5 linked regions of the Macaca mulatta genome follow. The protein of the gene in region 5 purifies or fractionates together with the protein of the main gene of each other region. This does not show direct contact. Links are inferred from orthologs where the notes say so. Each region holds a gene or a part of one and is shown on either strand. Other genes may lie near its edges. The genes, in order: THOC6, THOC7, ALYREF, DDX39B and NCBP3.

Evidence for each region.
Region 1: the proteins of NCBP3 (region 5) and THOC6 purify together in Homo sapiens (co-immunoprecipitation; 3 studies listed by BioGRID and IntAct, with this or other methods). This does not show direct contact. The link is inferred for Macaca mulatta from reciprocal best matches to the Homo sapiens genes NCBP3 and THOC6.
Region 2: the proteins of NCBP3 (region 5) and THOC7 purify together in Homo sapiens (co-immunoprecipitation; 3 studies listed by BioGRID and IntAct, with this or other methods). This does not show direct contact. The link is inferred for Macaca mulatta from reciprocal best matches to the Homo sapiens genes NCBP3 and THOC7.
Region 3: the proteins of NCBP3 (region 5) and ALYREF purify together in Homo sapiens (affinity purification with mass spectrometry; 4 studies listed by BioGRID and IntAct, with this or other methods). This does not show direct contact. The link is inferred for Macaca mulatta from reciprocal best matches to the Homo sapiens genes NCBP3 and ALYREF.
Region 4: the proteins of NCBP3 (region 5) and DDX39B purify together in Homo sapiens (co-immunoprecipitation; 4 studies listed by BioGRID and IntAct, with this or other methods). This does not show direct contact. The link is inferred for Macaca mulatta from reciprocal best matches to the Homo sapiens genes NCBP3 and DDX39B.

The regions. Positions count from the first base shown.
Region 1 is NC_133425.1:4,263,696-4,269,762, reverse strand, and holds the start of THOC6 (THO complex subunit 6), read right to left. Parts: upstream 3,626-6,067; 5' UTR 3,390-3,625; coding exon of another isoform or gene 3,254-3,389; intron 3,020-3,253; coding exon of another isoform or gene 2,891-3,019; intron 2,779-2,890; coding exon of another isoform or gene 2,722-2,778; intron 2,407-2,721; 5' UTR 2,406-2,406; coding exon of another isoform or gene 2,311-2,405; 5' UTR 1,926-2,310; coding exon 1,887-1,925; intron 670-1,886; exon of another isoform or gene 400-669; intron 252-399; coding exon 136-251; intron 35-135; coding exon 1-34. Other genes in the region: HCFC1R1 (host cell factor C1 regulator 1), read left to right, coding at 2,311-2,405, 2,722-2,778, 2,891-3,019, 3,254-3,389; TNFRSF12A (tumor necrosis factor receptor superfamily member 12A), read right to left, coding at 4,420-4,475, 4,557-4,691, 4,927-5,031, 5,759-5,852. UniProt on the Homo sapiens protein: Component of the THO subcomplex of the TREX complex which is thought to couple mRNA transcription, processing and nuclear export, and which specifically associates with spliced mRNA and not with unspliced pre-mRNA.
Region 2 is NC_133407.1:127,393,893-127,399,095, forward strand, and holds part of THOC7 (THO complex subunit 7), read right to left. Parts: intron 4,264-5,203; coding exon 4,146-4,263; intron 2,995-4,145; coding exon 2,867-2,994; intron 2,556-2,866; coding exon 2,469-2,555; intron 815-2,468; coding exon 757-814; intron 1-756. UniProt on the Homo sapiens protein: Component of the THO subcomplex of the TREX complex which is thought to couple mRNA transcription, processing and nuclear export, and which specifically associates with spliced mRNA and not with unspliced pre-mRNA.
Region 3 is NC_133421.1:91,550,784-91,557,035, reverse strand, and holds the start of ALYREF (THO complex subunit 4), read left to right. Parts: upstream 1-2,697; 5' UTR 2,698-2,700; coding exon 2,701-2,958; intron 2,959-3,426; exon of another isoform or gene 3,427-3,459; coding exon 3,460-3,591; intron 3,592-4,959; coding exon 4,960-5,107; intron 5,108-5,704; coding exon 5,705-5,768; intron 5,769-5,869; coding exon 5,870-6,047; intron 6,048-6,142; coding exon 6,143-6,157; 3' UTR 6,158-6,252. UniProt on the Homo sapiens protein: Functions as an mRNA export adapter; component of the transcription/export (TREX) complex which is thought to couple mRNA transcription, processing and nuclear export, and specifically associates with spliced mRNA and not with unspliced pre-mRNA.
Region 4 is NC_133409.1:150,788,123-150,794,320, reverse strand, and holds the start of DDX39B (spliceosome RNA helicase DDX39B), read right to left. Parts: upstream 3,756-6,198; coding exon 3,545-3,755; intron 2,516-3,544; coding exon 2,388-2,515; intron 2,122-2,387; coding exon 2,029-2,121; intron 1-2,028. UniProt on the Homo sapiens protein: Involved in nuclear export of spliced and unspliced mRNA. Component of the TREX complex which is thought to couple mRNA transcription, processing and nuclear export, and specifically associates with spliced mRNA and not with unspliced pre-mRNA.
Region 5 is NC_133421.1:5,294,179-5,299,521, forward strand, and holds the end of NCBP3 (nuclear cap-binding protein subunit 3), read right to left. Parts: intron 5,169-5,343; coding exon 5,007-5,168; intron 3,647-5,006; coding exon 3,484-3,646; intron 3,020-3,483; coding exon 2,911-3,019; 3' UTR 1,886-2,910; downstream 1-1,885. UniProt on the Homo sapiens protein: Associates with NCBP1/CBP80 to form an alternative cap-binding complex (CBC) which plays a key role in mRNA export. NCBP3 serves as adapter protein linking the capped RNAs (m7GpppG-capped RNA) to NCBP1/CBP80.

The sequences.
Region 1 (6,067 bases), on a different chromosome or scaffold from region 5:
CTCTTTGGCTTCGGAGCTCAAAGCAGCGGACAAGCTGCAGGGGACAGCGGAGGGGACCCAGGAGTCAGAAACAGGGGCATCCGTCCCATGAGGGCCAAGTGCCAGGGCTAATGGGTGGACAGCGGCAGAGGGTACCTGAAGATGGCAATCTGCCCATAATTGTTGCCAGCCGCCAAAAACTTCCCACACGGTGAGACGCTCTGGGAGAAGATGGTCATATGGAGCCGCTGCAAGGCCTGGAACACCTCTGTCTGCAGGGAAGAACTGGATGAGGCCTGCCTGGGATGTATGAAACCTCCCAGCCACAGACTCCTTCCTGCTTCCCCCAACACCTGCCAGGCCTCCCACTGTCCTGACTTCTCAGCCCTCTTTTGAGGCGGCCCGGCCCCAAGCCAGCACTTGCCCATGCAGTCCCATGGGCGGCTCCAAGAAGACACTGAAGAAGGGGCGAGTCGAGGTGATGCCTCAGGGACCTCTGAGCAAGCACCCAGCACTCTCCTACCAGCTTCCTCAACTGTCAAGTGGAGCTCACAGAAGATTCCATCACCATTAGATGAGCTAGTGTATAGACAAGAGCTTTCCATGGGGCTGTCACTCAGTGCTGAAGCCGGGTGTGGTGGCTCATGCCTGTCATCCACTGCTTGGGGAGGCCAGGAGTTCGAGAGCAGCCTGGTCAAAATAGTGAGACTCCGTCTCAACAAAAAATTTAAAAATGTGGGGCCGGGCGCAGTGGCTCACGCCTGTAATCCCAGCACTTTGGGAGGCCGAGGTGGGCGGATCACCTGAGGTCTGGAGTTCCAGACCAGCCTGACCAACATGGAGAAACCCATCTCTACTAAAAATACAAAATGAGCTGGGAGTGGTGGCGCATGCCTGTAATCTCAGCTACTTGGGAGACTGAGGCAGGAGAACTGCTTGAATCTGGGAGGCGGAGGCTGTGGTGAACCAAGATGGAGCCATTGCACTCCAGCCTGGGCAACAAGAGTGAAACTTCATCTCAAAAAAAAAAATGGCCGGGCGCGGTGGCTCAAGCCTGTAATCCCAGCACTTTGGGAGGCCGAGACGGGCGGATCACGAGGTCAGGAGATCGAGACCATCCTGGCTAACACGGTGAAACCCCGTCTCTACTAAAAATACAAGAAAATTAGCCTGGCGAGGTGGTGGGCGCCTGTAGTCCCAGCTACTCGGGAGGCTGAGGCAGGAGAATGGCGTGAACCCGGGGGAGCGGAGCTTGCAGTGAGCCGAGATCGCGCCACTGCACTCCAGCCTGGGGCACAGAGCAAGACTCCGTCTCAAAAAAAAAAAAAAAAAAAATGTGGCCAGGCATGGTGACTCACACCTGTAATCCCAGCACTTTGGGAGGCTGAGGCGGGAGGATCACCTGAGGTCAGGAGTTCGAGACCAGCCTGGTCAACACGGTAAAACCCTGTATCTACTAAAAACACAAAATTAGCTGGGCATGGTGGCACACGCCTGTAGTCCCAGCTACTCAGGAAACTGAGGCAGGAGAATCGCTTGAACCCAGGAGGCGGAAGTTGCAGTGAGCTGAGATCGTGCCACTACACTCTAGCCTAGTTGACAGAGTGAGACTCCGTCTCAAAAAAAAAAAAAGTGCTTTGCAGGAACTAGAAAATTAAAAAAAAAAAATAGGGGTGGCTCTACTACCCCAACATAGAAAAACGTACTGATTTATAATCCCTACTCTCTGTCTTGCGTTAAGCCCCTGAGGCACTTCTGGGTTACTCTCCCGCCCCCCGGTCAGCGTCTGAGTTCCACAAATAGCCCAGGCAAAATAGGACTCAAAGGGCACAATTCCCTGCCCGCCCCGTCCCAGCCATGAATGGACTACAAATCCCAGAAGGCAACGCGCACCACGTCCGTCTCACCTGACCCAGCGGTACCGCGAGCGGCACAGCTCGCTCCATCTCCAGAACTACAAGTCCCAGAGTGCTCCGCGTGCCACGCAACTTCACGAGGCCTTACGTGCCTACAGCGGTTCCTCTCCGTGGCGCCCTACTGCCTTCGGCGCGAAGGGGGCTGCTGCGTACCGTCCTGAACCCCAGGAGCCGAGGTGAGCGCCGCGAAGACCCCCGACATTAAGAAGTGGTGTCCACCGCAGCCCCGCTAAGCCGGATACCCTCCCCCACCCCGAGGAGCAAGCCTGCCTTCCGCCACGCGCCGCCCTTCTTCGGCGCCCGCGCAGAACCTCGCCGCTGTGCCCGCCTAAAGCCACGCCCATCCTCGCTGGGCCACGCCCTCAGAGACTCCTCCCCTGTCGCCCAGATCCCACCCGCAGGACCCCAAAACCCAATGATCCTTCAGCAGCCCTTGGAGCGAGGCCCCCAGGGTGGGGCCCAGCGCCTCCCGCGGGCCGCCTTGGGGGTGACTCGGGGCCTGGACGCCAGGTGCGTGTGGGGGACCAGGGTGGGCCTGACCAAGGGCCGCAGGAGCTTTGGCTGGGTGCTCAGGGCTGGTCTGCAGGATGAACACGGGGTGGGGCGAATCGGTGGGGCTTAGGCGTGAGCTGAGATGGTATTGGGGCTGCAGTTCAGGGTCCAGACTTCCGAAGTACGCTGCTGGATGGCCCAGGAGAGGGGGGACCAGCACCAGCTGAGACAGTAATGGGCTTGGGGCTCCTGGCTGATGCTGCAGGCTCAGGCAGGCATATCCTTGGGAAGGGGCCAAGAGGGTGGGGTGCACCAGGCTCTCTTTTTTCCCCAGCTCCCCTCTCCGAGGAGCTGTGCCCATGAGCACCAAGCGGCGCCTGGAGGAGGAGCAGTGAGTTTGGGGGCAGGGAGGGACTCCCAACGAGAGCTCTGTCACCTCTGGTCCCCAACAGGCTGCCTCCTGTCTCAATATCCCAGCCTGCCTCTCTCCCATCTCTCCCCAGGGAGCCTCTGCGCAAGCAATTTCTGTCTGAGGAGAACATGGCCACCCACTTCTCTCAACTCAGCCTGCACAATGACCACCCCTACTGCAGCCCCCCCATGGCCTTCCCCCAAGCCCTGCCCCCACTCAGGTAGGCTCCTCCACTGGCCAGGCCTTCTGCAGAATCACAGGCGGTCCTCGCAGCTGACCTCAGGCCCTGCCTCATCGTGCCATTTTTAGCTCTAGCTGACCTCTGGGTTGTTTCTCATCTTCGCTCTTTGGAAAGTGCTGGGAACCCAGGAGTCCCTGGGGACCTGGACCTGGTGGGAGGTGCTCAGCTAGGCCAGCCTTAGCCCCATGCCCTGACAGTCATTTCTTCTTCTAGAAGCCCTTGCTCTGAGCTGCTTCTCTGGCGCTACCCTGGCAGCCTCATCCCCGAGGCCCTCCGTCTGCTGAGGCTGGGGGACACCCCCAGTCCCCCCTACCCTGCAACCCCAGCTGGAGACATAACGGAGCTCTGAGTGCTGGTGGACTGCCCCTCCCACCTTCCTTCTTCCCCACAACAGAAGAGACCAGCGACTCCTGCAAAGGGACAAGGTTCCTCCCTCTCCTGCAGACCAGGCATCTGGGCACCAAGACCTTCCCTCAACAGAGGACACTGAGCCCAACGGAGCTCTGGGATGGGAGGGGTGGGAGCATGGGAAGGGAGGCATCCCACCCCCAAGAAGAACTGAATAAAGATTGCTGAGCAAAGGAAGGCTTCAGTCTAGAACCTGGGGCTTTTGGGGATGGTGGAGAGGGCAGAGGTGCGGGATGCTGGGGTTTCTCCTCAAGATCTTCCCTGGAAAACTGTTAGGGCCAGCCAGGTCCTGGCCGGCTGAGTTCCAGGCATTGAGAATGTGTGAGTCAGAGCCTCACCCCCGCCCCCGCGGCTGGCTGACTCACTCCCTCCCTCCAGCTCAGGGGAGTCAGTCGGGGATCACTGCCTCTCCAAACCATTTAAAGTTAAAGATTCTTTTATTAATAAATTCTCCCTCCCCTCCAAACTCTCCCCAAAATAAATATCTCCTCCCCTCTTTAGGGAGTTGGGGGGGTCGGTATCTTAGGGCCAGCCCTCCTAGTGGGCCAGCCCCCTAGTGTTAAAAATAGGTCCCTAACCCCCCAGGGTGACCCCCATGGTGGAATTTCAGGACATCTGAGTGAGTGGGGCCTAGTGTCAAGTCTGCCCCCCAAGTCAGCCTGGCCCCCAGGGCCTCTAGGAAGGAGGACACCCCCCCCGTGCAAATGCTGCCGTTCCTTAGTCAGTGTCAGCTGTTTTGTGTGAGCCAGCGTGAGGCTCCCTTTCTGTTCTGGGGCCAGAGGCAGGGCAACCAGACACCTTGGAAGGTTCCCCTGAACCCTGGGCCCAGGCCTCAGAGGTGATTCACCGCCCCCCACCCCCCTTGTGGTTGGAGGAGCTTGGCTCCTGCCGCGTCTGGGAGGCAGAGACTGGCTCTAGAATGGATGAATGAATGATGAGTGGGCGAGCCCCGGCTGGCAGGGGGCACATTGTCACTGGATCAGCGCCACAGCTGGGCAGCCCTCTCCGCCGGTCTCCTCTATGGGGGCTGCAAGATAAGAGGTGGGGTCGTCAGGGGCAGAGAAAAGGTCGAGTGCTGACAGGGCTGGGCAGGCCAGGGCGCACTTACTGGTGAACTTCTCTCTCCTGCGGCATCGTCTCCAGACCAGAAAGCCAGAAAGCAGCCCCAGCACGAAGGTCAGACTCAGAGCGCCCCCAAGGATGGGCCAAAGCAGCCGGAAGGGGGCAGGAGGTGCCGCAGCGCCTGGGGGCGGGACTCGGAGTCAGACCTCGCCCCTCTCCAGGCCAGCCCCGCCCCCTAAGACTGAGCCTTCAGCCTTCTCCCAACCGTGGCCTCCTCCCTGACCCGGGCCACCTTCCAACTCCCACCTTCTCCCGATTGACTTCCCCGATGCAAAGCTCTCGGCCCCCCTCTCCGCACCAGCCACCCTCTCTCCCAGTCTGGGGTCCGCTGGCCACTGGCCCTGCCCCCCACTCACAGCCCAGGCAGAAGTCGCTGTGCGGTCGCGCCCTGCAAGACGCGCAGTCCATGCACTTGTCCAGGTCCGCGCTCCAGGAACTGCCGCGGGAGCAGGGGGCGGTGCCTGGGGAGGGGGCCTCGGGTCAGAGGCTGGGGGCGGGACTCGGCTATTCTGGGGTCTGAGGTCAGGGTCGGCCGGCTCGAATAACGTGAGTCACTGGCGCCCTCCCCGCGCATTCCTCACAGGTGACCGCACGGCCCGACCGGGACACGGCAGCTCCGGGAGGGAGGGCGTAGCGCGGGACGCTGGGGGTGGGGGGGGGTCAGGTCCCCACAACCCCCCTGCCGCCGGCGAGTGACTCACTCCTGGGCACCGGGCCCGACCCCGGTCCCTCCCCCCGCATAGCTGGGCACTGAAGTCACCGGATGGAAGGGGGCACCCCACATGGTATAGAGGGCACAGACCCTAGTGCCTCTCGACGGCCTCCCCAACTCGTCGGTCACTGGGGCTAGTTAGACCCTGTACTGACCAGGCTGGGGGCGTGCCCCTTCCTAGACTAAACATCCCGCCCTCACTTACTTTCTCTCTCCACTTCCAAGTACTTTCGGACTTTCGGAACCGAAGAACCCACCCCAACCCCAATTGGACGGTGGGAGAAACTGAGGCCCGGATTGTGAATGAAACTTGGAGAGTGATGGAAGTTCCCACAGCCGGGAGCGAGCTGTTAGAAGGCCACCTGAACCCAGATACCCACATCCGCCTGTTTCCCCAGTTCCGCGCTGTTCTCCAGGCACCCAATCCGGCTCCCGAGCCCCGGATCGGGGTTCTCCGACCCCCAAGTCCCGCGTACCTGGCGCTTGCTCCCCAGCCACGGAGCGCAGCAACGCCAGCCAGAGCCCCAGCACGAGGAGCCGCAGCAACCGGCGCAGCGAACCCCGAGCCATAGTGCACGTCCCGCACCCGCCGCTGTCTGCGCCCGCCGCCGGCCGGCAGGGACCCACGGCCGCCGCCCCGCCTCCGCCCCCGCCTTCCGGGGCGGAGCTCTCGCCTCCGCCCGCCTTGAGTTTGGCTGCGGGACGCCCCGCCCCGCGGGGCCCGCTCAGTTCAGTCATTCATTCAACAAAGTCCTGGTGCGGGAGCTGCCAGGACCCCGCAGGGA
Region 2 (5,203 bases), on a different chromosome or scaffold from region 5:
GAAGCTGGGGATGATTTCTTCTTAACTTCTAAATATGGATTTACTTTCATTAAAATTACATTTTTGGATACATTTTTAAAGTACAGAAAAACACAGATAATAAAATAACAAGACCCAAGAAATGATACATATTGTGAAGCTTAACTTCAAGGGTTTTTTTTTTTTGGTAAAAGAAATAAAACATTGCCAATTAACCTGAAATATCCTTTGAATCTTACCTCTAGACCTCTATCCTGGGCTGTTTTATCTCCTCTACCTCCCACTCAGGCAACTACTATATCATTCTAATTCTTTTTTATGCATATACTTGTATCTCTGAATAATATACAGTATTGGTATATAATATTTGAAAGGGGGTTCTAACTTTTATAAATGGTTATTATTCTTTGTTTCAGGAATGTAGTAATAATTTAAAATTTATTATGTGTCTTTTCACTATGTTTTGAGAGCTGTGTTTTAAAAGGGCATAACTAGTTTATTGTTTTTAACTGAAATTCAGTATTTTAATATATGAAGACCATATTCTATTTGTCCATTGTGCTATTAATGAATATTACATGCATTTATTTCAGACATATAAGTGGTAAGGTCAGAGGGAAATAAAATTTAACAGAGAAGTATGGGAAAATATAATATTGAAGATCTGACCCCTCCTTTTGAAACATATTTATTCTGCAAAAAATGAAATGCCTAGGGTAGTTTATGAGCATTTATGTATAAAGGTTAGTTCCTTTCAAAGTAAAACTCTACACTTACTTTAATGTCTCATGCCTGTCTGGATGGTGTTGAATCACTTTTGCCAAAGCATCATATTCTGAAAGACATAAAAATATTTATCAAACTAAGGGTTTTTTGAATATGAATTATCAAAACAAAAATGTATAATATCAACAAAAATGTATAATATCACAAACCTCTTCTAATCACTTCCCTAGTATATCAAGAAATGAAATCATTGAAAGATGAGTATTGCCAGTTTTAGTTGACTGAGTTATAATTATAATGATACACAACATCAAAAGTGTTCCAAACAGGGGTTTTAGCTCCCACTTTTTTTCCATTTATATGTCGTGGACAGAATATAAGAGGTCAGCATAAGCATAAGCAAATTTAAGTTATTATTGATTATCAAATAGACTGATTCTGAGAAGGATCTTACTCACTAGTTGTCTAAAAAATAAAATAAAATAAAATAAAATCAGTAAATATATCCTACCATTAGTTTGAGTTGTTAGTCAACAGCAAATTACACTTCTCACTCATTCCAAAAGTTAAGATTTCAGAAACGTGCAAATAACTTAAAATTCAGGTTCTACTTTCTGCTCCACTGAGACCTCCAAGATAAGTCATGTAACTTCTGTTAACCTTTCTTATGAAGTGATGAGTGATGAGTGGCAGGATTTACTTAAAAACCTCATTAACCAACGAAAACACTCCAAATATTTTTAAATGACTTTTGAACTGATACTAAGTTGGTATATCTTACTGTAAATAGGGCACCAAAACTTCACCATACACATTTTAAACTGAAAAAAACAACTTGTAAAAAGAGGAAATTAAGCTTCATCTTAATTAGTTCATTAAAAAGTGAACATTCATTGTTTTAGAACTGAGCATATTAATTCAATAAAAGTATGATTCTTTTAACACAAATTTTTTGAATTACAAAATAATACATGCCCTATGTAAAACAAAACAAAACAAAAACAGAGAAAAGAACCTAAGCCATAAAAACTCACAACTTCAAAATAACCATTAACATTTTCTATTTTCTTCTAGTTTTTCACATCAATGTGAAAAGTTGTAACAGTTGTGATCACACATTATATTTTTTATTTTTATTTTTCTTCAATTTACATTTTAAGAACAGCATTGCCTCTAACATTAAAAATTGTCTTGAAATAGTATTTAGGAACTACATAAGTATATACTCTAACTTAAAAACAAGAGATTATAACAAAACTCAACTTTAACCTTCTTATTAGATATTGTAGGCCGTCTAGAAATGTTTGCTTGCTTTGTACTTAATGAAAACTCACAGAGTTTAAATTCCTTTCCATTTCATTTTTTGGAAAGTAGCTCTATTAAACAAACAAACTAAAAACCCAAACCATAAATCTAGTATATTTATGTAAATCGCCTCTGCTGATTAACTATAACATTATTTAGGCAAAAGGGTCCAAGATGGTAAAAATTTAATACTTAAGAAATACTGGGATAAGAAAAAAAAAGAGAAAAACAAAAGAAATACTTAGATAATCAACATAATCCAGCAAAAACATTCTTTTCAACACAGACCTCCTTCTGTATTTTAAAGAATAATATAGTTCTAAGGAATTAAAATTTGGATTTTTTTTTTAAATCAAGGTTGATTCAGGCTGCAGATTATACCTCACAACATTAAAAACTGCATGAAAATAGTAGTCAGTAATAATGTATTTGCACATTAAATCCCTCAAAACCCTTACCTTGGCGATTTTTTCGTATTCGTTTTGCTTGAAGAATTTGCTTTTTGCACTCAGCAATTTTTTCATGTGCTCCAGCTATGCTACATTCTATATGAGAAGGTTTTTAAAAGATAGTGGTAACACAATCAATAATCCATTTTTAATTTTAAAATGCATTTATAAATTAAATTCTATTGGTAACAAAATAGACACTAGTATTTTAAAAAAACAGCTGTAACCCAAAGTACTATATCATGTTAGAATATGCATTTTTATAGCTAACATTTACTGTATTCTTTCCATTAATACAGTAATTGTTATTATTCTTTTACCACCAATCAAAGAAAATTGTTAGCAGATATTGTTTCCTTTAGACCATAAAAAATAAAATTACAGATAGAAACATTAAGATTCTTTACCTATTTCCTTGTAAATTTTTTCATAATTTTCCATTTCTCTGAGATTCATATCATATACTAGTAAAGTTTTGCCCATTGAAAATTCACATTGAGACAGCGTGCTCAGCATACGTTGGTACTGGCTATACCTAATGAAAAAGAGAGAAAACCAAAATAAGGATGCTTGTGGATTGACAAAAATGAACTGTTATAATGCAGGCAAATATTTGCTAATTAAATTATACCAAGTTCTGAGAGAATCATTTGCTTATTTAAAATAATTTAGAATATCTGTCCCTTAAGTTTTCTTTTTATCAAATGTAGTATTCTTGAATTTAACTACTTTAGTTACAAATGCAAAGATGGGACTGCTGTTCTTATCAATACACGTTTTATTCAAACAATTATTTGAATTTTGTTTAAAAGACTAAAAAATACTTTAAGATGTTTTTTTAACTTCACAGTTCTGTTCCCACAATTTTTTCACTCTATAAAATCATTTATATGGAAAGCAAATTCAAATGAGGAAAAGTTTACTATGTTAAAAAATAAATAAATATAGTTGAGCATGGTAGCTCATGTCTGTAATTCTGACATTTTGGGAAGCCAAGGTGGGCAGATCACTTAAGGCTAGGAGTTTGACACCAGCCTGGCCAACATGGTGAAACCCCATCTCTACTAAAAATACAAAAATTAGTCAGGCATGGTGGTGCTTGCCTATAATCCCAGCTACTCAGGAGGCTGAGGCACCAGTACTGCTTGAACCTGGGAGGTGGAGGTTGCAGTGAGCCAAGATTGTGCCATTATTGCACTACAGCCTGAGCAATAGAATGAGACTCTGTCTCAAAGAAAAAAAAAAAAAATTAGATATACGTGTGTGTGTGTGTGTGTGTGTGTGTGTGTATGTGTATGTGTGTGTGTGTATCAGGTTGGTGCAAAACTAATCGCGGTTAATCGTGTCAACTTAATATATACATACATAGCGGTAGCCTTTTATTAGCAAAGGAGAAAATTCCATTTAGATATTTTATCCTATTAAACACTTATATCATAAAAGTAACCAAACTAATGAGTCTGAATTTAATCTTCATTTCTCCTTCAATCCTCCTTCTCCATGTTTTAATAAACATATGGGAGGCCTTTGAAGAGAAGAAAAGGCCAAGAAAATCTACTCTCGATTAAGAGTTGACTCCACTGGACATTTAAGGTGAGTGAAAATTTGATCTATTCACAGGACCTCAATATATGGCCTAAAATCACATTAGGACATTGGTATGGAAACAACAGTGAAATGAAATACCCCTCTTCCTGGGACCCAGAGTTGCACCATTTAATGAAACTCTTCACTAGCAGATTAATTCTCCGATCATCTCCAGCACCATCTCCATCAATGAGGAGACGCTTCCGTATAACTTCATCTGCAGGAAAGAAGGCCAATGTTACCATCTGGCTCTTGGTAACTTTCAAGCACAAATAACCAGTATGACTGTTCATTTGTTTATTCAAAAGAAAATTATTGAAATGTAAATGTATTTAATGCCACTGAACTGTACACTTAAAAATGGCCAACTAAAATGGTAATTTTGTTATGCATATTTTATGTTACTGCATATAATAAAAAATATTTATATAGTAAAGGAAAAAGAAAGTTATTGCATGACTATCGTGTGTCAGGTATTGTTCTAGGGGCTGGAGTAATAGCAGTGAAAAGATGTCCTTACAGAGTTGGCAGTCTACTGGATTGTTGAGTGGAAATAATCTTCAGGTACAATGAAGGAAACAAAATAACCTGCCCAGACAGACAGAAGTTCAAATGCTCGTGTTTTTGGTTGGTGAGAGGCATTGATAAAAGGAATAGATAGGAAATATTTAAAAGATGTAGTAGCAAACTAGGAAAAAAGAATGAGATGGGTCAGGGAAAAAGTAATGGATTTGTTAGATAAACATATAATTTAAGGCTGGGTGTGGTGGCTAATGCCTGTAATCTCAACAGTTTGGGAGGCTGAGGCTGGAGTATCGCTTGAGACCGGGAGTTTGAGACCAGCCTGAGCAACACAGTGAGACTCTGATCCTGTGAAAAATAAAAATTAGCTCGGTGTGGTGGCATGTGCCTATTAGTCCCAGTAACTTGGGAGGCTGAGGTAGGAGGATCACTTGAGCCTGGGAGATCAAGGTTGCAGCAAGCCATGATCTCACCACTGGACTCCAGTGCCTATTGGCAACAAAGCGAGAAGCTGTCTCTGAAAAAAATAAAAAATAAAAATAAAATTAAATTTAAAAAGTATATATATAGTTATCTGTAAGGTTTCTTTCCCCATGAGGATTTTTTTTTTTAACAATACTGTCTGACTTTCGCCC
Region 3 (6,252 bases), about 86 Mb from region 5:
CCCCATTTCTATTAAAACAAATAACAGGTAAAGGGCTCTGGGTACAGAGGGTCAGGGCTACAGGGGAGCTACTGCAGAACAGCGAGCCCTGGCAGCAATCCACTGTGGCTCACGACTGTAATCCCAGCACTCTGGGAGGCCAACTTGGGAGGATCGCCTGAGCCCAGGAGTTTGAGACCAGCCTGTGTAACATAGTGAGACTGTCTCTACCAAAAAAAAAAGAAGAAAAGGAAAAGAAAGAACTATCTGTGAGGTTTCTTTAGCCGTCTAGAGAAAGGGCACACTTTTCTCTCCAAGGGAGGGAACTCAGCTCCTCACGGACAGAGAGATCACACTGTCAGGAGTTTCATTTTACCTCATGTTGAGGATATCTTCAAAGATCTCAAGTGGGTCTGGCCAACATGACAAAACCCCGTCTCTACAAAAATACAAAAATATTAGCTGCAGGTGGCGGCTCATGCCTGTAATCCCAGCACTTTGGGAGGCCGAGGAAGGTGGATCACTTGAGGTCAGGAGTTCAAGACCAGCCTGGCCAACATACTGAAACCCTGTCTCTACTAAGAATACAAAAAATTAGCCGGGTGTGGTGGGCACCTGTTATCCCAGCTACTCGGGAGGGTGAGGCAGGAGAATCACTTGAACCTGGGAAGCAGAGGTTACAGTGAGCCGAGATCATGCCATTGCATTCCAGCGTGGGCAACAGAGTGAGGCTCCATCACACGTACACATACAAAATTAGCCAGGCGTGGTGGCGCACACCTATAATCCCAGCACCCAGCTATTCGGGAGGCTGAGGCACAAAAATCGCTTGGACCCAGGAGGCAGAGGTTGCAGTGAGCCAAGATCACAGCACTGCACTCCAGCCTGGGCGACACAGTGGGACTGTCTCAAAAAAAAAAAAAAAAAAAAAAAGCCTGCTGTGGTGGCATGCACCAGCTGCCTAAGAGGCTGAGGCGAGAGGATAGCTGGAGCCCAGGAGTTCAAGACTGCAGTGAGCCAAGATCACACCACTGCACTCCAGTCTGGGTGACAAGGGGAGACCCTGGCTCAAAAAACACAAAAACAAAAGCAAGTATCTCAAAACAACTTAAATCCATGAAATGGGCTGGCCCTGACTCAAAAAACAAAAACAAAAGCAAATATCTCAAAACAACTTAAAATTCATGAAGTGGGCTGGGTGTGGTGGCTCACGCCTGTAATCCCAGCACTTTGGGAGGCCAAGGCGGGCGGATCACCTGAAGTCAGGAGTTTAAGACCACCCTGACCAACATGGTGAAACCCTGTCTCTACTAAAAATACAACTAATTTCTCTACTAAAAATACAACAATTAGCTGGGTGTAGTGGCACATGCCTGTAGTCTCAGCTACTTGGGAGGCTGAGGCAGGACAATCGCTTGAACCCAGGAGGCAGTGGTTGCAGTGAGCCAAGACTGCCCCACTGCACTCTAGCCTGGGCGAAAGGAGACTGTCTCCAAAAAAAAAAAAAAAAATTCCATGAAATAGCACATTGGTTTTCATTAATAAATTGCAAATATGTCATATAATTTCTTTTGGAGACAGGGTCTGGCTCTGTCACCCAGGCTGGAGTGCAGTGGTGCCATCATGGCTCACTGCAGCCTCGACCTCCTGGGCTCAAGCGATCCTCCCACCTCGGCCTCCCAAGTAGCTGGTAGTACAAAAGTGCACCACCAAACCCAACTAATTTTTTTTTTTTTTTTTTTTTTTTTGAGACGGAGTCTCGCTCTGTGGCCCAGGCTGGAGTGCAGTGGCCGGATCTCAGCTCACTGCAAGCTCCGCCTCCCGGGCTTACGCCATTCTCCTGCCTCAGCCTCCCGAGTAGCTGGGACTACAGGCGCCCGCCACCTCGCCCGGCTAGGATTTTTTTGTATTTTTTAGTAGAGACGGGGTTTCACCGTGTTATCCAGGATGGTCTCGATCTCCTGACCTCGTGATCCGCCCGTCTCGGCCTCAACTAATTTTTTTTTAAGAGATGGGGTCTCACTATGTTGCCCCAGCTGGTCTCAAACTGCTGGGCTGAAGCGAACCTCTTGCCTCGGCCTCGCAAAGCGCTGGGATTGCAGGCGTGACCGCGCACGAAAACTTGTAAAGGATATGACTAGCAAATTGTGAGAGTGCAGACTCGGGGGTCTGCAGGTGGGGACCAAACAACCAACCCGCAGCTCTTCTGCGGCGGCTGTCGCCCGCCGAGGCCGCGTCCGCTGGACCCCGCCGCGAGCCGAGCGCACAGTCCCGGGCGGGAGCGGAAACAAGGACTCCCAGCGGCTGCCCGGCACCCGCCGCGCCCGCAGGGCCCCCAGCGCCCCCAGCCCAGGGCGATCGGGTGGGGCGTGCGGGGAGGGAGGGGCGCGCAGGCTCCGCCCCCAACGGCTGCCGCCCCACCCCCTGCGCCCTCGCACCTTCGCCAACCTAATCACGCGCCGCCCTGCCCGCCCTTCCGTTGGCAGCGCCGGCGTCCGCGCGGGAAGGTATAAAAACGACCTCAGTCGCGGCCCGGCTCCCTCAGCAGCGCCCGCCGAGTCCCGCGAGCCAGTGCGCACGCGCCTTCCCGCCTCACCCCGTCCCGCGCGCGCAGCCGTCCGCCGGCGGCCAATCAGCAGTCGCTCCGAGGCCGTGGCACCGGAAGGCCTCACGAGGCGCCGGAAGTGACGCGCCGGCGTGCTGACGCGCGGGCTCGAGCCGATGCCCGATTCCGCGCCCGCCATGGCCGACAAAATGGACATGTCTCTGGACGACATCATTAAACTGAACCGGAGCCAACGAGGCGGCCGCGGCGGGGGCCGGGGCCGCGGCCGGGCCGGCTCCCAGGGCGGTCGCGGCGGTGGGGCGCAGGCCGCCGCGCGAGTGAGTCGAGGCGGCGGGCCCATCCGGAACCGGCCGGCCATCGCCCGCGGCGCGGCCGGCGGAGGCGGCAGGAACCGACCGGCGCCCTACAGCAGGGTGAGTGCGGAGGCCGGCCGCGCCGGAGAGCGGGAGGGGACCAGCCGGGGCCGGGGCGTCTCGCGGTGGAGACCCGGGCCGGCGGACAGATAGGGCCGGTGGAGCGGCCGCCCGGAGGTCCGGAGGGTGCGTGTGGGCGCGGAGGGGGTGGTGGGCGGGAGCGAGGTCGTTCTTTCGGGGCCCGGTCTCGGAGGCTGAGACCCTTCCCGGCTCTTTGTTTGTTCCGGCCGCCGGGGCCTCGTGGCGGCAGGAGAGGAGGGGACGCTGGGCGCGGCACCGGCGGCGGGAAGTTAGTCGAAGGGAACTGAAGTTGTGCGGCCGCGGTGGGACCGTGCCGCCTCGGGCTGGGGCAGCTGCTGCGCCGGAGGGAGCGCTAGCGGCCCCGTCTCGGCCGGATCCTCTCAGGCCGGGAAGAGGAAGGGTCCGGAGTAGCCGTGAGGGCCAGGAAAGGCCTGGACTGAGACTCACGGATCTGCTGTTGTTGCGGTTTTTTTTCTTCAGCCAAAACAACTTCCCGACAAGTGGCAGCACGATCTTTTCGACAGTGGCTTCGGGGGTGGTGCCGGCGTGGAGACGGGTGGGAAACTGCTGGTGTCCAATCTGGATTTTGGAGTTTCAGACGCCGATATTCAGGTAAGAGACGAGGGCTTCTCGGTGAGCCGTTCGCCCTGCACAGGACCGATCGTGATTTGGGGGAGGGGGCCCTGAGTCCCCTTCCCGCCTTAGCGAAGGGAGCGCTCCCAGCTCTCAAGGGCTGCAGGACAGACCTAGCTCTAGTAAAGCCGGGCTCAGTCCGCAGGCAGGTGCGAGCCTAGCCGAGCCTGAGGAACTGCTGCTGATAGTCTGAAGATGGGTTCTGTGAGTGAACATCCCCAGCCAGGGCTTCCAGTTTCTAACAGGGACCAAGACTGATCAAATGTGAGTGGTTGTTGGCTGTTTAACCCAGCCCAGTTGCTCTTTAAATGTTGTGCCCCTTTTAGTGGGTTAATGTGAGAAAAATAATCTTTTTTATGTACCTTATGAAGCACAGGAAGCCTGTGTGATTTTCTGGCTCTGTCTGCCTTGAGTATTGTCTTATAAAGACGTTGTACGCTGCGGTTTTATCACTCCCCACCCCCGTGTCCCTTCAGTGACATGATTCTCAAGCCCATCTTTGGTTGAAGCTTTTCTTTTTTTAAAAAAGAAAAATTGAATCCCAATGGCATTTAAACTTGTTTTCTGGTTAAGAAATGATTTTTTGGGAGTCAGTTTTGGAGATGGCTGGGCAGGGTTCAGTTGCCCACAGCCCAGCCATTTGCCTTGGGAGGACAGAGTAGGGCCAGTGAGCACTCACAGTGTCTCAACACTTTTTTTAAGGTGGTTTCTAGCATCCACTGGAAACCGCTTTTGGTGAACTCCAGTTCCCGCTGTGTGCCTGCGGCCGGAGTATCCCCACACTCTGGGTTCCCTCTCCAACTCCCAGCCTGCCTGAGGTCAGGGCAGTTTCCATGGCAGCGCTTGACTTCAGACTTTGCGGCAGGCTTGAGTAGGAGGAGAGGGAAAGGTGAGCCAGAATCTGCCTCTGGGGGAGGGGCTGGGGTCAGGGCTCCCGAATCTACAGGCCCTTCAAGCTGGTCTGATATCGGACTGCTTCCCTTGCTCTTGCTCTTGATCTTGGCCTTTACCGTTTCTTGGAACAGCCCTTGGGTGTGTTGTAAATTTTCCTTCGTTGAGGAGGATAGTGGCTTAATTTTGTGCCCCTTGCTAGTGGGCTTTGCGACTTCCTCTATCTGCATCATGGTACACGTGTCAGGTCCCCACAATGGCAGGAGCCCTCAGACCCAGGTGCTCTTGGAAGTTGCTGTCCCTTCTGCCCCACCCTTCCCTCATTTCCCGTTACCACTGTCCTGCCTCCCAGGGAACCACCCCCAAAGCAACTCACGCTTCCAGGGCCTGTCCCTGGGCCACCAGAAGGAACCCAGTTTTGTTGCTTTTCTGACAACTGTTCTTTGCAACTCCCAGGAACTCTTTGCTGAATTTGGAACGCTGAAGAAGGCGGCTGTGCACTATGATCGCTCTGGCCGCAGCTTAGGAACAGCAGACGTGCACTTTGAGCGGAAGGCAGATGCCCTGAAGGCCATGAAGCAGTACAACGGCGTCCCTCTGGATGGTGAGTCTGGGGGTAGACCCACGCTGACTGTGGGGCTTGTGGAGTTTGGGGCTGGCACCTGTCCAGGTAGGAAAATGGGGTACCCCTGTGGCTGAGGACACTTTGCATTTGCCCCTTTGTCTCTCTCTTCCATCTGCCACCTCTCATGCTGCCCCACACATCTGGACCAACCTCTTGTGAACCCCCATCCAGCAAGCTACATCCCTCCCCTCCTTCAGCTCCTTCCGGAAGATTCACTTCTGTGAAGCCTTCTCAGAACCGCCATAGTACACCTCTGAGTGCGGGGCTGTAGTCGTAAAGACAAAGGTACCGGTTCTTCTTCGTCAGGTCACCCACACCTCTCCACCCACGAGCACCCTGACACCTCAGCAAGCAGCCCACCCAGTCTGGACTGAGAAGGATGAGGAGGTGTTGGTGGGGTTGCTTCCTTGCCATTTTGTTCTCCCACCAGTATCTCCAGGCCATTTCCCTTGTCGGGGGCATTTGAGACACACAGAGGCCCTTTCCAGTGTTTGCATGGAGACCAGGGTGTGGTGCCAGCTGGGTTGGTTTCAGAGCCTCTCATTAGAACGTGCCCTCTTGTATTCTTTGCCGCAGGCCGCCCCATGAACATTCAGCTTGTCACATCACAGATTGATACACAGCGGAGACCTGCACAGAGGTGACTTCCGGGGCCTCTGGGGAAGGGTGTTGGCCTAGGGTGTAGCTGTATCGCCCTTGGGGTTCTTCCAGCTATGCGAACGGTTTCATTTTCCTTGCTAGCGTAAACAGAGGTGGCATGACTAGAAACCGTGGCGCTGGAGGTTTTGGTGGCGGTGGAGGCACTCGGAGGGGCACCCGTGGAGGCGCCCGTGGAAGAGGCAGAGGTGCCGGCAGAAATTCAAAGCAGCAGCTTTCGGCAGAGGAGCTGGATGCCCAGCTGGACGCCTATAATGCGAGAGTGAGTCCCGGGGGAGCCAGCTGGGGGCCCGGTCGAAGCCACAGTGGGGAGCAGGCCTTCTGTGAATGCGAGCCTCTTTTTCCTCTGTGTTTCAGATGGACACCAGTTAAACAGACCGGCAAATCCGCGTGTGGAACAGGACCCAGGCGTTTCCTCTTGCTCCCTGGTCGGGGGTGGGCGGTGGCTGGGGCTGTGCGGCCAATGA
Region 4 (6,198 bases), on a different chromosome or scaffold from region 5:
CAGGAGCAAAGAGTCTCAAAAAAGAGGAAGGAAAGAGTCCAATCCCCCCAGAGTTCCCACTGTTTGAGCTAAACCAATTTTTAGCATGTTTCAAAACTAAAACGAACTCTAGAGGTCACCTAATTTAGAAATGTTATGTCCCCCCACCAAACACTGAGGGTGACTGCCTAAAGTTACATAGCTAGTCGGAGCAGTCAGGACAATAATTCAGTTCTTCTGACTTAATCTAACCGTCTTCCTTCATTTATGAGGCCAAGCCTCATTTTAAAAATAAAGGAGTCAGGTGTGGTGGCGCACGCCTATAACTCCAGCTACTCGGGAGGCAGAGGTTGCGGTGAACCAAGATCTCACCATTGTACTCCAGCCTGGGCAACAAGAGTGATATTCCGTCTCTAAATAAATAAATAAATAAATAAAATAAAGCCAGGCCCGGTGGTTCACGCCTGTAATCCCAGCAGTTTGGGAAGTCGAGGCAGGTGGATCACTTGAAGCCAGGCGTTCAAGACCAGCCTGGCCAACATGGTGAAACCCCATCTCTTCTAAAATACAATATTTACAAATTTACTACTAAAATACAAAAACTACAAAACTTAGCCAGGAGGCTGAGGAAGGAGAATCGCTTGAATGCAGGAAGTGGAGATTGCAGTGAGGCGAGATTGAGCCATTGTACTCCAGGCTAGATGACAGAGCGAGACTCCATCTCAAAAAATAAAAAATAAATAAATAAAGGACGGCAAGAAATTACCAGGATTAGTATAAAGTACCACAAAAAAACACATGGAACATTAAGTTTTCCTAAATAAACCCAGAATCTCAAACTCCTTCATACAAACCCCATGAAATTACTGCTTTGGGTGAAATATTATCACTTCATGTTAAAACCATTAGGTGAATAGTTGGTTAGGGATCTGGGCCTTGGTACAGTGTCAAATAACACCAGAAACTCTAGTTTTAAGGGGGAAAAGAATGACCATGGAATCAGACTGTCACGATGCTAATCCTATGGTAAACCTAAAGTCACTAATGAGGCCAGGCACAGTGGCTCACACCTGTAATCCCAGCACTTTGGGAGGCCGAGGTGGGTGGATCACTTGAGGTCAGGAGTTCGAGACCAGCCTGGCCAACATGGCGAAACCCTGTCACTACCAAAAAAAAAAAAAAAAAATTAGCCGGGTATGATGGCACACTGTAGTCCCAGCCACTCAGCAGGTTGAAGCAGGAGAATCGCTTGAACCTGGGAGGTGCAGGCTGCAGTGAGCTGAGATCGCACCACTACACTCACAGCCCAGGGGACGCAGCAAGACTCCATCTCAAAACAAATAAATAAAAATAAAAATAACTAACATAAGTCAACCCGATTTCTGGCATAACAGGAGATACAGCATCACCTATGAAGGATAATTGCCAAAAATGCTTAACTTCAATCAGATTTTTTTTTTTTGAGATGGGAGTCTCACTCTGTCACCCAGGCTGGAGTGTAGTGGCACAATCTCAGCTCACTATAACCTCTGCTTCCTGGGTTCAAGCGATTCTCCTGCCTCAGCCTCCCAAGTAGGTAGGACTACAGGTGTGTGCCACCACGCCCGGCTAATTTTTGCATTTTTAGTAGAGACAGGGTTTCATCGCATTGGCCACACTGGTCTCGAACTCCTGACCTCAAATGATCCACATGCCTTGGCCTCCCAAAGTGCTGAGATTACAGGTGTAAGCCGCTGCGCACTTGGCCAGAATCCTCAATATTCACACACCCCTGAAGCTGTTTTAAAGTTTCTGGCTTTCTCTGCCACACACCCCAAAATTACCAAACTGATAGGATTCAAAGTCAGTATAAAGTAGTAAAAAAAGGGTGGTCTCGGTTAAGCATCATCCATAGCCCAATTACGAATCCTCCCGTTACATAGGATCTTAACACTGTTAAACCATGGCAAACTAAAACTTCTCCAAAATTAAAGAGACTACTGGCCTACAAGTTTCTTATCCCTCCAACTTGCCACACCCTCACTCTGAGGTCTCTTTACCTCGGCTTACCTTGACATTGGGCATGTATTTAGAGAAGCGCTCATATTCCTTGCTGATCTGAAAAGCCAACTCCCGAGTGTGACACATCACCAGCACAGACACCTTAGGCAGGAAGTAGACCGAGACATACCATGAGTGTAGCCCTTCATCGTTCCCTCTAGGGAAGTGACTGACAAAAACACACCTGGGCCGATAATAAATGACTTCAATTCTGTGATCTAAATCACGAACCCCATGCTTGGATAGAACATTCCCCACAGCTGTCAGGTTGTCAAGGGTAACCGAGGTCATCATGTAGCTAGGACAAAAACACCCTTCCCTTATAGTCCTAACCAAAACCCCTTCCCCAGCACTCTCCCCAAATATACCTGCCCAGTAACTGGCTCCAGCTGTTGCAGTGTGGCCAACACAAACACTGCTGTCTTTCCCATGCCCGACTTGGCCTGGCACAGGACATCCATTCCCAGAATGGCCTGAGGGATGCACTCATGCTGGACTAAAAGTAGGGAGGAAAGATAAATTAGACTTCAGTCTCCAGATAACTCTACAACCTTTTTCATCATGCCAAGCCCATTTCTTACCACTCAATTCTCAAAATCTAGTATTTACCTGGTTCTTGCCAACTTCCAGACCCCTTTTTCCTCTCTCTGCTCAATTATATTCACCTCAAAATCAGACTCTCCTAATTCATCCCAGCTTTGGCCTCCTCCAGATCTAGGCCTTCCCAGTCCTACTAACAGCCCCCTTGCATCTACCAACCGCTCACCTTCAATGCTCCTGGCTCTGTCCTTATTTTTCTTAATCTGTAACAATTCATGACATCTGAATACCTGCTAAAGACATTTCTCCTACTTAGGTTGCCATACTTCGGGTCACATAACAACAACCCGGGACAAAATGAAGGACTTGGTACCTGACCCAGAAGCCAGTCATCTCTAAACCAGTCATAGAGGTTTCCAGAGGCCACAGTTGGCCTGGCCCAACAGAGGGAGACTACAGGTCCAATCAGGACCTTTCTGGAAATTTAAAATTACAAGTCAAATGACAAAATTAAAAATAAGCAGACAAAAGAAGTCAGTCACAAGAATGAATGGCAGACCTAGAAGCTACTTTTGGATAATTAGCACTTTGGTGCTATCATGAAAGAAAGAACAAGTCTGTATAATCCTCCTCTATCCAAAATCGTTTTCGATACTTATCTCCTGATTTTTTTTTTCCTCACTGTCTCCCCGGCTGGTGTACAGTAGTGCAATCACGGCTCACTGAAGCCTCAACCTTCACCTGCTTCGTTTAGTAGAGACAGGAGTCTCCCTATCTTGCCCAGGCTTCTCTTGCACTCGAGCTCAAGTGACCACCCCTCCTGCCTTGCCCTCCCAAAGCGCTGGGATTACAGGCGTGAGCCCCTGCACCTGACCCTGATCTAGCCTTAAGTATAAACTTTTACCACCTGAGCAACAACAAACACATCTTTTTATTGTACCCTTAAAGAGCCCAATGAGCACTACATGCCCAAGAGAAAATTTACCTTCTGACGGATGCTCAAAGCCACAGTCGACAATGGCCCGGAGCAACTCTGGCTTGAGCAGGAAGTCACGAAAGCCAGAGCTGTGGATGGAGACATAGGAGCCCTTGACATCCTTCTTGGCAGGGGCCTCAGCCCCATCTCCCCCAGCTGCTGTCTCCACCTCATCATCTTCATAGTCCAAGAGCTCATTGTCCACATCGTTCTCTGCCATAACTGGGCCGGCAGGGGAAGACGGGAAGGGGAATCTGGATGGGTTCTCGCAAAACAGGTGAAAACAAGGGGTGAAGAGTAGGGGATTGAGGAACAGCAAAGGAAAATAAAGATACTATTTCTAACAGAAGAGCTGGGGAGGGGGAAAAAAAAAAAAGCAAGACTTAGTCACGAGCAGAGCCTTCACCACCTCTTTTCCATTCCCAGTTCCCACTTTCCCTAAACTAGGAAACTTTTACATGGAAAAAAAAACAGATACACAACATAAAAACGAAAAGCAAATACAACAGAACAGAAAAAGCAGCACCAGCGAAAGTGGTTAGGACACAGGTTCCCAACAAGATTAGCAATCACAGTAGCGGAAACCAGAAAAGTTGGAAGGGGAAGACCAACTTATAAATTCTTAATCTGAAAATAAGTGAGGAAATATAATAGATAATAAAAGATAAAATATGATTAATAACTTAGTAAAGTGGAAAATGGAGATGACAAGCAGAGTCCTGGAAAGTCCTCAAAGGAAGACTGTGCTTTCCCTATTATAATCCCACCGTTATGGATGCCTAACTCAGCAGCCATCAGTCAAGGGTGATAGATGAGGGTCATCACTGCGCAAAGCGCTCATCTTTCGAAAAGAAAACATCATATGGCCGCCGTCCACCTCCCATAGCTCTCAGCCTCCCACTTCTCAGTATCCTCTCTTCCGTTGTTTAAGAAAGCCTTGTGTAATTAGCATGGGGGGGAGGGGCGGTGCAAGACAAATGGCTCGGCCACCAAAAACAAAAAAAATCCATGTCTCCACCCTACAATAACAAAGTTAATAGTTGACAGAGAAAGGCAATCCCCGCCCAGGCTTTAACAGGATCTTTACCAAGTGGTCTGACATCACTGTTGCGCTACGAAGGTGAGACTCCTTTTGGAGAAACATACAATGACACCAATAGTAAACACTTGTAAGGCACTCCAAATTAACTTGGGCGAGTCAAGGTGAGAAAAATCCAACTGGGCCCAAAAACCGGCTCCTCCTCCCAGTCCCACCGTGGGCCAAGAAAGGGCTCAAGAAAGGACAAGTAAGGTGATAAGAGCCCCGCCCTCCGCAAATACCAAGACCAAGGGACGCCTAGCGCCGCCTCTCATTGATGCTGAGGCCTCCAATATGAAAAGAACCTACTGGAAGAAGGGAGCAAAACGAACACAATGGCGCCGAGGACACCATCTTGGATTGGGCCCCCCCTTAGCTTCCCTTCCTTCCCCCAAGAGCTCTTTGCTCTCGAAAGGGATGCAAGCTACGGAAATGGGGAACCAACTAGGCCCCAGAGACCAGACGATCGCCTGTGAAAAGGGTATCAGGAACCCATGTGACGGGATGGGTGCGAAGAAGCGCAGATGGCAACGGATTGTAGTGAACGCCAAAGCTTACCTAAGAAGGCAGAGCGCGTATGGCGGCAGCAACAGCGACGAAGGAGGGAAATCTGCCTTCACTTCCGGTTGCAGGCTTCTCTCTACTCCAGCCTCCCGCCTTCTTGGCTGCAAGAGCGCAGGCGCAAGGGACCGGAAACGGGGCCTTCCGCGGTTGTACAGATCCGTGCGCTCCAGGCTTGCCTTTGGAAAATGCCTGTCTGAAATTTGTTTTAAAACCGTTTCTAACTTCCCTGCTACCGCCAGTAACAAAACGTATAAAGGAAACTAACGTTTCCTCCCACTGTTATCTTTCTTCTGTTGTCGTACTCCTCTCCATGCCTCTCATCTCTTCGTTTAGGTTTTTGCCATGCAGGTCTTCTCTCTAGGCACTCCATGGATGCGCGAGGAACCGGTGTGGCGAGGGCTGCGAGTTCCCACGGGGTCCTTGGCCCGGTAGTGAAGGTGACCTGAGGGCGGCTGGGCAAGCACTAGGAAACGGCAGGCCCTAGCTGAGGGGGGGGGCGTTGCCCGACTCTTTCCCAGTCGTGGGGCTAGTGGGCGGTATTTTCCCAAAAGGATGCCGTCCGAGGTAGCTGCGGCCCTAGGGCCAGGGAGTCAGGAAGGTGTTCTGAATCCGAGCGGGAAGACGGGGTCTGGATTCGGCCCCAAGTGTCAATAGTAGGGCTTGAGGGTTATACTACATTCCATTAATACTGTTTTTTTTTTTTTTTGTTTTGAGACAGAGTTTCGCTCTGTCGCCCAGGCTGGAGTGCAATGGCGTGGTCTCGGCTCACTGCAACCTCTGCTTCCTGGGTTCAAGCGATTCTCCTGCCTCAGCCTCCCAAGTAGCTAGGATTACAGGCGCCCGCTACCACGCCCAGCAAATTTTTAGTTTTTTAGTAGAGACGGGTTTTCACCCATGTATGACCTCAGGTGATCCACCTGCCTCGGCCTCCCAAAGTGCTGGGATTACAGGCGTGAGCCACCTCACCCGGCCCATTAATACTGTTAATTCGAGCAGAATGTTCTTGGCCCTACCCCAACAG
Region 5 (5,343 bases):
GCGGAGGTTGCAGTGAGCTGAGATTATGCATTACAGCCTGGGCAACAAGAGCGAAACCCTGTCTCAAAAATAAATAAAAAAATATATATGTATATATAATATATATATCCCAAAAGTAGAAACTCAAATGCCCATTAACCAGTAAGTGGATTAAAAAAAAAGTGGCGTACCCATAAAATGGACTATTATTCGTTAATTTTTGAAAACGAAATACTGATACATGCTATGTGACAGGGGTGAACCCCAAAAATATGTGAAGAAGCCAGTCACAAATAGACACATAGTATATGATCCCATTTATACGAACTGTCCAGAACAGGCAAATCCAGAGAGAGAGAAGGAAGATCAGTGGTGGCCAGAGGCTAAGAGGGAAGACGGAATAGGGAGCGCTGCTAATGGGCTCAGGGTTTCTCTGGGTGATAAAAATGTTTTACAATTGATAGCAGTGCTGGTGCACAACTCTGTAAATATACTGAAAGCGACTGAAGTGTACACTTTTAATGGCTGAACTGTATGCAAATTGTATCTTAATTAAGCTGGTAACAACAACAAAGGTTCGTCCCGGCTGCGGTGTGCAGAACGGAGAAAGGGCAGAGACCAGTGAAGAGGGTGCTGTACAAGTGCAGCTGGAAAGGACAGTGGCTGAAGTACGGGGAGGGGTTCACAGGATCAGACTACAAGGGGGCCAGAGAAGGAGACTCCATCCTGCGGTGGACGCCACAAGTTCTCCTGGGTACCTGGTAACTCTCCAGAGAGGAGAGTGGGAAACAAATGAGGTATCTGCAATTACCATCAAGCAGCAAACATGGATTTAAAATCTCCTACCTATGAGACTAAGAGGGATACACAAAGTGGGTAGCCCTGTGCCCACATGTGTGGGGAGCGTCCAGGGTAAAAGCACGCCCAGCTGCCTGCCAGAGGCCTGTCCTGACTATCCATTCTCACTCCGAAACGCCAAAGAAAAGGCCTCGTCATTCAGGACACACTCAAGATGTTGCAAGATCTGAGTGACTGAGAGTGGGCTGAAGGGTTAGAGAGGCTAATAAGGCCAGTAACTCCGAGAAGTAAAATCGTCAAACCTGCCTTTCCGGGTTCTCTCTGTGTGTCTGTGAAAACTGGAGGCTACTCAAGTGTGTATTTTTCTTGGTTAGATCAAAGACCCAGTTTTGACTGCACACCACCTCCTTCCAGAATGTCTTTGCTGATCTCCAGCAAGAGACTGGTGAGTGCTGAAAGGCCATGGAACAAACGGGCCTGAGCTGCTGGTGGAAAACCAAAAGCAAAGTCTGTGAAGGGGCATATTCTAAACCCTGCAGAGGCCATGCCAGCTGGGACCCTGACCACAAGACATCTCTGCCCCATTGCAGAGACTGCTGGGATGGGAAAAGCCCCTGTCCACACCTCATGCTCGCTCTCAGTTGTCTCCTCGGCGCTTCCTCCAGCCACCTGCAATAGAAATTCACGCAGGCCAGCCCACCGCCATCACAGCTTGGGAAGAATAAACCGCCACTGAGACGCACCAACAAAGCCAGGAATTCTGGTACCAGCTCACTCAACTGCTAGATGGGAAAACTGAGGCCCAGGTCCATAGCACAGAGCCAGGGGTTGGCATCCAGGTCTCTGATTCTCAGACCCCCGCACTTCTCACTCTACCAACTCCCCAACCCCTGACCCTTCTTAAGAACCTGGCTCTCAGCCGTGTGCTTCACAGGGAAAGGAAAGCTGAGGAATCTCAGATGCCTTAAGTCTCAACTGGCGGAGAAACCAGAACCATCTCTCTCCTAGAATCCTATTAGGAAGCTGAAATATATCACAGTTATATGCTCTAATACTCTAAAGGGAGGGAGAAAAAGCAGGTTAATCAACAAAATATGGGACAATACAGTTTTTGTTGCAGCTCTCAAATCTTGCAGCCCTTTTACTTCCTTTATTAATAACAGTGTTCTGCATTCATTCGTGCCACAGTGTAATCAACTATCAATGCGACCATTAGCTCGGCCACAAGTACAGATCGCCAGGATCCAGGCTGCACTGTGTGCGGAACAGCCCAGGCAGGTGAAGAGTTGTGACATCGCAAAAAGGCCCACGGCTTACGACCAGCTCTAACTCCCATGTTCCAGCAAACCGAAGCGAAACACTGTTTCTCAAAACTGCAGAGGAATACAAAATTAAATACTACAAAACAAAAATCAGACAGCAAGAAGAAACAATCTACCTCCTCCTAATGGTAAAATAATCTGAAAGGAGCTTAAAAATAAATGAACTAAAATTTTCATAACTATTATCTTTTCTGCCAAGTTTTAGGATGTCTTCAGGTGCCACAACTTGGGGACAGAAAGAATAAATATCAATGTATCAACTTCTAGAGTGATAATAAACAACAGGACCCATCTCAGATGGATGGATTTTTTTCCTACTGGAGCCAAAAAGCAAGCTGAGCTCTATGTACAACAGACAGGCTATACAACTAGAAGCATTTAAAAATAATAAGACTCCTCTCTCTGCCTTCTTCCAAAGAATAGAATATATATTTAACAGCACAAAAGAAGACACCACTCAAGCTTCCCCTTTAGCCAACAGGAAGAACTTCCACATATAAAAATTAAAAATTTAAACTTTCAAATCATTTGTGTTTTAAACATAATACAGACTTAAAAATTCTTTAACATTAACCCATAATCCCACCCCCAGCACAAAAATCAACCCCAATTCCAGACGTCACAGTTTTTTGTTCCTAAAAATCCCACAGCACTGAACTTGATCTTCACATCAAGCTGACAGCAAGTAAGAGGCCCATGACATGAGCAATCCCCGAGGGAAGAACGGAAGCACAGTCAATGCTGCAGCTCTTATCTACCTGGGCGGCACTGGTGCACCTCTGAGGTCAGGTCGGTGAGATTCGCCCCCACACTAGGGTCCCGGAAGGGTGAGCTGGCCGCTTCCCTCCTCTTCCCCCTCGAAGGATGTCCAATAAGCACCTGGGAATTGACTTTTCTTGGGAAAAGGGTGCTGGTAACAGCTGTCAGGGCCAAGGCAATAGTGAGAAGTTCAGTTCTCTGCTCTTTGGATGAACTGTGTAAAACATTTCTTTTAAAAGACACAATGTTAAAAATATTAAGAAAAATGTCTACAAAATCTGGAGGGCTGCCTTTTTCTCAAAGGGTAAAGCCTGTGGGGTGATGGGAAAGGAATCGAGGGCCCAGAACTACAACTCTGCAGCGAAAGATAGAGACGCCCTTGAAAATGTGTCCCATTCTTAAGACGTCTTGCCGAAGTAGCAAGAGCTGAGAGGGTGACTGTGTGAGCAGGAGCGAGAGGGCGCCAGCTCCTGCGGGGGAGGTTCCTACTGCGCGCCCCACCCTGTGCAAGAAGGTCAGGTTTTAGGGCAGTTGCCATAGGCCCCAGGGGCATCAGGACTCTGCCTCTGAACCAGAGCTGCTTTCCCGACTAACTTCAATCTGGAGAGATGGTAAGTTATCTAACCGGCTCTTCTTTTGGCGAGACTGCTCTTTCTCCTTAATCAGAGCCCCCCACGCCCTTTGCAGCTCGGAGTCGTCTTCCTCAGCGCCAGGTGCCCTGTGATCCACTTTCTTCGTATTCTTTTCTTTGGTCTTGGGTGCAGATCCTAGGCGAGTCCATAAATTACCTGTTTGGATGAGATGGCATTTCACTTTCACAGTCAGCACTAAGAACCAGGGTGGTACTGAGGGGGCAGTGGCACTGCCAACACCTGCTGTGCAGGAAACGCCATCACAGTGCAGCTTTGGGTAGGTAAAATCTCATTTCCTGGGCCGCAGCCCCTGGCCTGCAAACAGAAGGGTCTGGACCCAGCAGGGGATTCTCACCGTGGGGGACAGGTCAGGTCCCTCCCTGTCACCAGGCACATCAGAATCACCTGAGAGGCTGTTTCTTCCTACTCCTGCCCTTCCCTGCTGAGATACCACCCGGTGTGCCAATCCATTCTGCCAGGAGTAGGCCATTCCCAGCTCCTTTCCAGCTTCAACATTCTACAAATCGATGGGCCTACTATACTGTAACATTTCAGAAATTCTGCCCACCATCCATTACTTTTTGAAATATATTTCATGAAAATTGAACAACAGAGAAATATGTGTTTAGAATTTGGTGGATAGCCACATTATAAGGCAATTAAAAGTTGTTTTTGTTTTCGAGACAAGGTCTTGCTCTGTTGCCCAGGCTGAAGTGCGGTGGTGCTGGCACCCACCACCACGCCCGGCTAAGTTTTGTGGTTTTTTTTTTGTTTTTTTTTTTTTTTTTTGAGACGGAGTCTTGCTCTGTCGCCCAGGCTGGAGTGCAGTGGCCGGATCTCAGCTCACTGCAAGCTCCGCCTCCCGGGTTTACGCCATTCTCCTGCCTCAGCCTCCCGAGTAGCTGGGACTACAGGCGCCCGCCACCGCGCCCGGCTAGTTTTTTGTATTTTTAGTAGAGACGGGGTTTCACCGTGTCAGCCAGGATGGTCTCGATCTCCTGACCTCGTGATCCGCCCGTCTCGGCCTCCCAAAGTGCTGGGATTACAGGCTTGAGCCACCGCGCCCGGCCAAGTTTTGTGTTTTTAGTAGAGACAGGGTTTCGCCATGTTGGTTAGGCTGGTCTCGGCCTCCCAAAGTGCTGGGATTACAGGTGTGAGCCACCGTGCTGGGCCTAAAAGTTTTATTTATAAAGTTTATAAAATGTGGCAAACAACTACGATAAAATGCTATGTGAAAAAAGTAGGACTTGTATGTGGACAAAGACCAGAATAGCTCACATGAAACTAAAAAGATTTGTGCCAAGCAGAAAGAACCAGGAGTGTGCTATTTTTTCCTATGCTCTAAGCATTCCTTACTGTTGAGATGATGCTGATGCTGATACTGATGATAACTATAATGGAAAAGGAATAATCACTTATGTTTGTCATGGGCTGTTTCTTGCCGTCTGCTCCAATACACCCATTGTCCTCTGCTCTCACTGAATCCCCATTCCCATCGGTTTTAAGTGTTACCAACCTGATTTCTTCTCCCGAGTATCGGCGTAGAGGCCTTTAATATCTTGCCTGGGAACACCGAGCCTACTATGCACATCAGAAGAGGGCTCTCTCCGAACGACTGGGTTACTACTAAAAGCCTTTTCCGGAGAATATGGTCTTTTTCCTAATCGCTGGCGTATATCTGAAAAAAGAGAAGAATTGCACCAGTGACCATGTGTGTGCTTTATGCTCAGAACCAGCCGCCTGAGACCTCTACAGGATCTGGCACTAACCCCTGCCCTGCCCCCCAAGTGAGGACACAGGACCTGACAATCAGGCTGCTACGTAGTCTTCCTTTGTAGTCAGTATGGATATCC